Linked DNA regions of Drosophila melanogaster. Changing the gene in region 1 together with any one later gene gives a genetic interaction. Each region holds a gene or a part of one and is shown in the gene's direction. Other genes may lie near its edges. The genes, in order: Trpm and S6k.

Region 1 (5,039 bases):
CAGTGTCATTCATTTTTTATCTCCTAAAATCACCATCTCTATATTCGATTAGTTTGGCTATCGACTTATCTCCAAACGATATTTTTGAGCACTACGCAGCTCTGACGCACATCTGCGAAATGTTTATTTACAAAACGAGTTAGCATCATTATTGTCAAAAATGAATTCTCAAAACGAATTGCATCCAAATTGGCTGGCTCTAACAACATTGCCACTCCAACTGAAGCGATTCGTCCGAGCAGGAGATCCGGATTTTATCGCCGAGTCCCCGAAAGCAGTAAAGCACCAAATCGATGGCTTAAACGGAGCAGAAGCTCGTGAGTTCTACAAGGAGGTGTTGGATGCGCCCACAACCTGCCAACCTAACCTTCCAAGTACCCACAAAACTGCACAAACAAGAAGAGAGCCAGAAAGGATCCTAGTCCCCTTCGACAAAAGCAAATTTTTCCGTTTGGCCACTAGCAACAAAGTAGAGGAGCTGTCTCAAATGAAGGCCTCAGAAGAGGATTTAAATTCTCGGGATTCCTTTGGCTGGACTGCCTTGATGATGGCTGCCTGTGAAGGAGCCACGGAGGCAGTGAGTTGGCTCGTGCAGAGAGGGGTCCAAGTAGAGACCTCAGACAAATCCGGAAACACAGCTCTGAAACTGGCCCAACGAAAAGGTCACTTAGATGTAGTTCATCTTTTGGAATCCCTACCCATTTTAGAGGAAACTAGCGAAGAGGATGAGTCAGTTGATGGCAACAACCCCTTTTACTGTGAAATCTGTAAGAGGGACTACAAAGAAACCCCCTGGCCAATTCATCAAACATCCACAGTGCATCAGTTCAATCTAAAGGCTCTGCCCGCTCATAAGCTCCACAAATTTAACATATCTGCCAAAAATCGAGGACTCCAGCTGATGGTGAAACAGGGCTGGGACCAGGAGCACGGATTGGGACCGAGTCAAAGTGGGCGATTGTATCCCGTCAAGACTGTTCTTCGAAAGCAACGCACTGGACTGGGAATTGAACAGCAGTCGGCAAGGGTCTCCCACTTTGGTGCCTTCGATTTAAACGCTGTTAGGAGAAGGGATCCCATATATCAGCCGAGAAGGACGCGAAGCGATATGCAGAGGGAAAAGGTGCGCGAATGGAAGCGAGAACGGTACCTCCGCAGGGTACTAAGTTAAAGATGGCTTACAGAGAAAGCTAACAAGAATTGTACTATAAATTATAAATGGAGCCAGCCTAAGATGTTTTTTAAGAGCAAAATAATAAATTTAATTATTAATAATGGTGATTTATGAATAGTAGATTTATAAATTTCTCATTAGAAGGAATACAATATTAGTTATTCCTTCTTAAGAGGTACCCAATAAAACAACTGATGTTCAGCCGTACCCAAATTATATTATAAATTATATATGAAATTATTGAGTACAACAACATGGACTAGCACACTTACTTAAAAATTTAAACAATTTTTTGAAACTCTATTTAAAGTTGAAATTTTGTTTCGAAAGTTGGACGAGGGAATCACTTGCTAAATACACAAATTGTTAGGTTTATACGCACAAATTAAGCAACATATTAGTAAAAACACATAGTACACACCTGAAGAATGACTATTAATTTTAAATGTGATGGATTTAGGCCTTGTGATTGAAAATATATTTATTTTTGTAAGCACTAAAAACAGAAACAACCGATGGAAAGTGCTTTATGTTTGCAACAGCTGTTAATTTTTAACATTGGACTGTTAATTTACATTTGCGAAACTTCCAATTGGAACATTGGAATATTTCTGAGAGAGAAAATAGTGAAAACGGTATATAAGGAACTTCTCCGAATTCCTGCGCTCAGTCGTATTCGGACTGTTGTACCGTGAGGTCGTTCCCGTCTTTTTATACCGCGGAGTGCAATAAAACTAAGTAAGCAGTGCGTGTTTTAAAGTTCTACTCGCATGCTCGGCAATTAAAAGTGAAAAAGTGGGAGTGCGCCCACAAGGTCACCAACAGCAGTCGTTTCCCTTAGGTAAACAGCTAAAAAAGTGAAGCATTAAAGTGTCTGGAAAACCGTTGCTCGACGGCAAAGTAATTTCTAGATTCAAATGATTGAATTCCGAATTTTGATGCGGTGGCAACCCTGGCGGCCGATCAACAAGAACAGCTGATTGGTCTGAGTGTGTATGTGTTTGTGTGTGACAGCGTTTTTGCGGCGGAGCGTCGCTCCAATTTGTTGTTGGTTCTCCAACATGTGCGGTTCGCTTGGCGCATTTAAATATTTTTTAAAATAATTAACAATTGTGTCGACGTTTTGCTGCTTAACCGTTATCGTGTGTGTACCAGTGTTTTTTTGTGATTCGTGTGAGCCGTATCCCGTTCCCCGGTAAACCCCAAAAAACGCGCAGTTTCAAATTACGCAGAGCTGGCAAGAAGTGCAATTATTTTTGAATAATTAAACTAAATAGGGTGGCCATGTGATTGCATCGTGTGTGATAACAAAACGCTTACAAAGTCATCGCCGTAACACATTTACTCCCACGGACTCTGCAGGAATAGAAAAACTATATTGTTTAATATGCGCTCTGATGTTCAGTGGGCTTTATGGTTTATTTTCGTAGCATTTATTTTGGTGATTTGTTTAGTTTTGCATTGAACAATGTACATATAATTCGGTTCTCTCCGCTCCGCTCTCTCTTTCTCTTTATGTGGTGCCCTCTCGCTCATTGATCGACATTGCCAGCATCCCCTCGATTTTTCCAACCCCCACCTCTCTCCCCTTCGATCAGGGCCCCCTCATGAACTTGCTTTGTTGTTGGGGTCTACCAGGGGCGGATCTAAATCGTGAATCTTGGGGAGAGTAGTACCCTTAAAAAAAAATCAATCCATTGAGGCATTAACTTTTGTACTGCTTAAGAGATATAGCAAGCTATTATCCATAAACTGTAAAATAATTCAAGTTTTGGGATAAAGATTATCCCTTTGGTGCAACAGAAACTATTTCTTTTGGATTTCAGATCTTATACATGATTTACTATAAACAGTTTTTGTGACAGTGAAAATGTAAGGCTTGGAAGGAACCGATTTCAATGACACCATTGACTTCTTTGATTTCATACATGATCTACATGGGGGGTAGTATATTTAAAAAAAAGTTCCCCTCTAATATTGTCCCGCCTCTGGACCGGACCTTACACGGCATTTCTTTCCCATTAACCCCATTCGATTCTATTATTTAGACAACACAATGCTATAACCAGTCAAGTGAGGCGAGGGTGGGGCGAAAGAAACCAGAAAAAACGGAATAGAATATTTTTATTATCTCAACGATTCCCTGGAATGCTGCGAATGTATTATATGCTTGCAAAATTTACACTATTCAAAAGTAAAATGGGCTGAGAGTCATCAAATATATTCAATAGTTGCCATTATGTTTTTCGTAGAACTGAAATATTGTTTACATAATAAATATGCAAATGTTTTAGTTATTAAAAAGCTGAGACTTTAATATTTTTTTGACAAAACTACACTGTTTTTCTTAGTTTTATCACAATAATCCAGCCAGTATAATAACAATTGGAGGTTCTGTGTAGAAGTTCAACTGAATGAGCAGCACAAGGCCAAGCGAATCCCATTTACTTCAGTGCTTGGGTGGAAAAAAATCTCGTAAATCTTTAAAATCGTAAACCAAACAAATGCACAAGAGCCGAAATGAAAATGCTAAATGTTTATTATTGTAAAATAAACCAAGAGAGGCGGCCCGAAGAGCACAGAAATGAGATAAATGAAATGCCAAAACTTCCGGGTCATTGCCTGAGCGCAATGGCAATGCCAATGGCATAAGTAGTCCATTTTTCCATTCTGGGGAAGAGTAGCTCGGCTTTTTGAGGGCCCTTTAATTTCCATTTGGCTTTTTGCCCCCTAACTAGAGCCAAATATCTGGTAGTAGTTAAAGTGAATTGCAATCAAACGAACTAAACAAACACTCGGATATTATATTATGTGAAAATTCCTAATTGCCAAACACCTGAAATTCATCGCGTATACCCTTCGATTGTTTACGCAATACCCAGCCAACAAAATTTTGCGGAGACCGACATAATAACCATTAAAGCAATTACAACAATTATAAACAACAATATCGAAATGAGCAATACAAAACGCATGAACTTGAAAAACAAATTTAAGCATGCTTGATCCAATATTCAGGAGCCCCCAGAGCAACAGCACCAACAACAGCAGCATCCGCATTTTCCCTCATTCAGCATCAAGTATACGGAGAGACAAGTATTTCTGCTCCAGCGTTTTCCATCTGGCCGCGTTTTCCGACTCTACTAAGTGTTTTCCCAGGTAAGACCGTCGAGATAAATGCAAATTACTTTGCAGGACTTTAGTGAGCGTTTGTGCAAAAGCATATCCTATTCACACCGAATCAATTTAAAGAAAAAAGTTTAAATATGGAGTGAAAATTATGGGACATTAGATAGTAAATAAATTAATGATTTTCATTCCATTTTAATACTTAATATCGGTTTAAATCTAATAATATAAAGATTAGTCATGGAAATTATTTGTAATTATTTAATTGTCTTACTGCGTTGCATGTACCTTTGAAGGTTAAAATATCTAAGCGCTTTAAATTCCTAAATAGGCGCACAATTTTTCTATCTTTAAGATTTCCAAGTGGAATGCAAATATTGTTGAGATGTACGAGTGTGTGTAATTGGCAGGACGATGGTTGGCATAAATCTCTCACCTGCAGGAATTTTCTAATATCGCGAAGGTGTTGCATACCAAACGGTGCTTGAAATGAGCAATTTGCGAAAACTTTCGGCATAAATTGTTGCCCAAAATCTCCATCCCCTCAAGCGACGCCTCTGGCTGTGAGTGTGTCAGTGGCAGGACGAAAGGCAAAAAATTAACAAAAATTAGGCCTGAAGTTTGTTGGCAAGCTCGCAAATGTGTTGTGGCTTAAAGGGATAAAGAGCTTTGCGTAGAGCAACGGCAGTAATTAACATTAATAAGGCGCAGGCTAGTGGTAAAGTACAATTCGTGG
Region 2 (5,077 bases), on another chromosome or scaffold:
TTATTGTGGAATACCTGAGTGAGTAGCAAGCTACGTCACGAAAGCGTCTGTAAGTTCGCCTGCAATGGCGTCTCTGGTTCTTTTTTTTTCCTAAATAGAGTACGGCATCAATTCGATCCTCTTCCAACGCGGAATTTACCCAGCCGAAGACTTTAACAACACGCAGCAGTATGGGCTAACCATTCTAATGTCCAAGGATCCCAAGATCAAGACCTTTCTGCAGAACGTGCTCAGCCAAACTGAAGGTTAGTGGTCTTTTGGAAAAAATTCAAGTTTATGGTGACCATTATTTGTATTCACCTATAGAATGGCTCTCGAAGAACATGATCAACAAGATCTCGATGGTCATTACGAACGCCCACACCAAGGAGGTGCTCGAGTGCTGGGACTTTAATATGCAGGCCGAGTTGGGCGATGGCGATATCAGTGATCCCACCAAGGCAACAACCACCAAGGAGCTGAGTCGCATACAGAACGAGATTCGCGACGTTATGCGGCAGATCTCGGCCACCGTGAGCTATTTGCCACTGCTCGATTGCATCTGCACCTTCGACATAATGATTCACACGCTGCAGAACACCGAATTACCGGCCAAATGGGACGAAACGGGTGCCATTGTCATACAGAATCCGCAGGCCGTCCAGCTGCGCTCCTTTTCTACAGGACTGCACAAGGTGGACACCGTGGTCAACTACAAGATGAGCACTTAAAAGGCAGTACCGCCTCATCCTAATGTTTAAATATTTATTTCGTTTCTATATTTACAATAGTGCGTAACGAACGTAACGTATTTGAGAGTTGCATTAAAAGCCAGTTGTGAAAAGCTAACAGTTGCTAAGTAGTAGTTTGGTTGGCCGCAGGGGTCGTCTATTTGTCTGTGTGTCTCAAATGCAATCTGGAGGACGAAACAGAGTGAGAGAGGGTAGCATTTGTTAGTGGAGCGCAACGCAGGAAAGGGCGTTTGTCTGGGCGACAGCTACCTATCCTAAGCAGCGCTTAGTCGTCAAGTCTGCGAGATAGACCCAAGTATCTAGTCTGTACCGAAGTATTTCTGGCCAAAGTGATTAGGTGCCACGGGATGCAGCTCGGAGGTGAGGATCTTCAGCTTGGGGAAGGCATTCACTACGGTCCGAGCGGCAATGGGTGTGCAGAAGAGATTGGACAGGATGATGCAGCTCTCGGGTACGCCGTGTTCCCGCAGCACATTCACCGCCTGCAGCACAGTGTTGCCCGTGGACATGATGGGGTACATGAGTAGCACCTGCCTGCTGCCGATGTCATCGGGAAAGCGGGCATAAACCACGCGGGCCTCATGCGTATTGGCATCGGACTCGACCAGGATCTTTCCAATGCGAATGGAGCGACAGCAGTCACGCAGTCCCTGCTCCATGGCCTCTCCCGATCGGATGATGGACACGCCGCAGTTGCCGGAGCGATACTTCAGTCCCTCGTAAATCGCACCGGTGGGCGTCTCCACATCGCAATGGGTGTAGGGCAGTTGGTTGAGCGACTCCTCGATGACCAGCCGGATGAGACGGTCGGCATAGAACTTGAAGTCACTGCGCGTGGTGTTCCTGGGGGGTAGAATTTTGTTGTACTGCTACTACGCTGCTGACTCCTCCTCCCCAACGTCACCTACTTGTCGCGCAATATGGTCAGCAGTTCGGCCACCTGGGAATTGCACTCGAGTAGCTTCAGGTTGCTGCCGTACTCCGCCAGGATCTCCTCCGATGTGGCAGCTGGCACCGCGGCATGTGCATGCGTGGGAGTGTGCAGCTGTTGCTCCTGCTCCTGGGCTTCCTGCTGCGGCTGCTGGTGATCTGAGGAACTGCTGCCCTCCTCCGACTGGGAGCCGCTGCTGCTGGGCGAGCCGGTGCGCATGACTCGGCTATTTGGTTGCTATCACTGGCTACATAAAATAAATAAATTAAAAGAATTGTACGTAGCACTTTGTCCTCCTAGCGCGTGCTTGGCTTGCTACGGCCACACTTTGTCGCGGCATTGCCGTTCGTTGCGCCTCGGTAATTTCTAGCAATTGGCAGTTAGCGCACGACTGGCCACACTCAGCAAATCACCTCGTGTTTCACTCGCAAACAAAGAAAAAAGTGCATTTTAATTACTGATTACTGCATTGCGATTAGGCGTTCGCGAACAACAACGTTTTCTTGCACATCAGCGGACTCAAAGGGCGCGCGTGGGCAAGGCATTGAGCACAGTGTCTGTGTGCGTGAGTGTGGGTGCGTTGTGCGTGCGTCGCAGTGTTGGTGCGTGTGCCCCCATGTGTGTGTGTATTTGTATTGCCATTAACTAATAAACAATAACCTTCGGGCCACGACGAAAGCCACGAAATCGGCACCGCTGCTGTTCTGTTCTGTACTGTTCCATCTGAACCAACCAGCTGAACAAGGAGACTCATAGCCAGAGACTAAAATAAATCGCCAACGCGCTTCCGCCCCCCCGCGAGAGGAGCGCCCAGTTCAGGAGCGGACCAGCGGCGATCCACTTCCCATATCCATATCCAAACAGAATCGCACTCGCCCAAACACACACACGCACGCAATGGCGGACGTGAGCGATCCCAGCGAACTGTTCGACCTGGAGCTGCACGACCTGGAACTGCAGGACGACAAGGCCAGGGACTCCGACGACGACAGGATCGAGCTGGACGATGTAAGATATAGCCCCCATTCCATGCCATCCCGTGCCAATGCGTGCCGCACCATCCCCCGATGCAAACTGCGCAGCAACAATTTCCCTCTTTGTTTACCTTTTCTGCGCTTTGTCTGCCAGTTTTCCTTTCGCTCGTCTGGGCATCCCGATTCCACACCCCCGAACCAGCATATCCACCAGCCGCACACCCTGCAAACTGGGCTTATCTGCTGCGCAAATGTCTGGCGTCATTCGGTTTCAGTCCAGTCGCCGATTATTCAGCGCATGTACATGCGCTCACTCATTGTACCATAAGTTCGACTCGATCAGAGAAAACCTCCTTACGAAACCACCTTCGATTGATATGGGCCAATCGAAGCCAGTGGTGGTGTCCTTCAAACTAATCAGCCCCAATTGCCCGCCACACTCCATGGCAGCCCCCTGCTTGCCACCGCCCCTGTCTCAGCTGATAATGCAACAACTGCAAAGGTGGTGTGCGAAGGAGAGGGAGGCCCAAAATGAACGCCGACTCGCTCGCACTCTCGCAAGTGTCTTAGCTTCCACTTAGAAAACGAAATTCCTTATCAGCGTGCCATATAAAATTAGAAAATGAGAAAAACCTCCACGCGCCGATAAGGGAGCACAACAAAATGGAAGGAAAAAGGGCAGGCAGGCAGGCAGGCGATTGAGATCGAAATCGAGCGATCGTCGAGCCAAACCGTCGTGTTTGGGGTGGTGGTGCTATACGGAACCAGTTGTAACTGCACCACAGTACACTGGAAAAGAATATTAGTTTCCATAGTATGTAGTCATTAAGTACCGAATTACTGATTACTAATTGTGCTAATGAGCGGTTCTTAAATTGATAAGTTTGTATTTAAACGCTTAAATTACTTCCCGTATTCAATACTAGTCGCAATAAATGCATTTTGGCTAAAGCAAGTTGCTAAAACTCTTAATTCGAATATTAAAAGTTCTAAATTGGCCTGAAATATATGTAATTTAGCAACAATGTGTGTACATATGCCGTCATCTTATGATGTCAATTGATTTATTTTTAGACAAATTGTGTAAAGTAATGGCTTAAAAGTACGAAAATAATCTACTAAAAAGGGAGAGAATAGCTCTTGGGTAATTATCATTTTTCTTTGTGTATTATTGGTTTTGTCTGCCCGGGGGAATTACATAGCTGGAGAAACCTTTTCGGTGTTGATAAGAACCTATCACTACCATATCGCACACCTTTTCCAAGACCTGTCGATTTACTTGATTTACGCAAGCGCGCACACCCCCTCCCTCCGCCCATCCACTGACTTTGTATGAACGCTATAAATTATGATGGATTTGTTAATTGAAATTCACCGCCAACGCTGACGAGGTGAACCAGTTTTTAATGTGCTGCGCGACGAGATGTCGAGATGCGGATTCCTATTCCGATGCCGCCATTCAATTGAACTTTAGTCAAAAATGTTCTATACAAATTTTAGGCATGACGAGAACGACGACGGCGGCTGCGGCTGCTGCTGATTCTTCTGAATCTGCCGCCCCTAACTGTGGCCTTCCTCCGATTGGAGCAGCCGCGTCCGAGGGGGCGGCAAATGGACCCGGAGGGGACGAGGAACAGCGCCAGCATCGCCGGCAGATTATTTGGCATTGTTCCGAGTTCTAAATTTAGTTTGTCATTAAGCGAAAGGTGTGTGTGCGTGTGCGGAAAGTGTACGAATGTACATCTGTGTGGATGCCACGCTCTTTCTCTCTGTGTAAATACCGAATAAGCTCCGTGTGGAGTAGTGGACAAATCGAAGGGTGGTGGAGAAACTCACTGGCTTCACATACTCCAAAGACGGATGCCATCCGAGATCCCAGAGCGAGCCCCTACTACTACTCCGATGCGATCTCTCCATTCATCGGAATCTCCCGCTGCTTAAAACGAAACTGAAAAGTGGGGCAGCACCGAATGGGGATTAAGCATGCAACAAGAAAAATAAAATATAACGATATACGATTTCCCATTTTAGAACTGATTCTTGAGCTATTTTTATTACTAAAAAAGCATATTAAAATTGTGGGCTACTAGCTTTAAGCAACCCACATATATATTACTGCTGGTATAGGCTGATTTTGAAGTATCTGTAAGATTTAGGGCCTCTTGTCTTCGTCGATGCCCGGTGCTGTGTAACTTTCCCTTCTGCTGTTTGCTCCCAAGTTCGCAATAACTATGATTAATTGTTGATTTTTTCGCATGTATACCGCTGGCAGTTATGCTCGCAAGTAGACGCCATCTCACTCACACGCCTCTCCGTCTCTCTTTCGCATTTGCAGGTTGACCTAGAACCGGAATTGTGTATTAATCTGCACCAAGAGTGAGTAATGCCAGTGCTATGCCGCCACATCGGAGGACGTGACTGTGACGTGACTTTCTGAGAAT

Evidence for each region.
Region 2: of Trpm (region 1) and S6k, changing one suppresses a phenotype caused by changing the other (phenotypic suppression), as found in Drosophila melanogaster (one study listed by BioGRID).

What each region holds. Positions count from the first base shown.
Region 1 is NT_033778.4:15,306,172-15,311,210, reverse strand, and holds the start of Trpm (transient receptor potential cation channel, subfamily M), read left to right. Parts: upstream 1-1,842; 5' UTR 1,843-2,015; intron 2,016-2,213; exon of another isoform or gene 2,214-2,369; intron 2,370-3,912; 5' UTR 3,913-4,333; intron 4,334-5,039. Other genes in the region: CG8152 (uncharacterized protein), read left to right, coding at 161-1,171. UniProt on the Drosophila melanogaster protein: Calcium channel mediating constitutive calcium ion entry.
Region 2 is NT_037436.4:5,807,883-5,812,959, reverse strand, and holds the start of S6k (ribosomal protein S6 kinase), read left to right. Parts: upstream 1-2,028; 5' UTR 2,029-2,559; coding exon 2,560-2,670; intron 2,671-4,971; coding exon 4,972-5,012; intron 5,013-5,077. Other genes in the region: mad2, read left to right, coding at 1-18, 99-245, 307-710; kri (krishah), read right to left, coding at 885-895, 1,042-1,574, 1,640-1,881.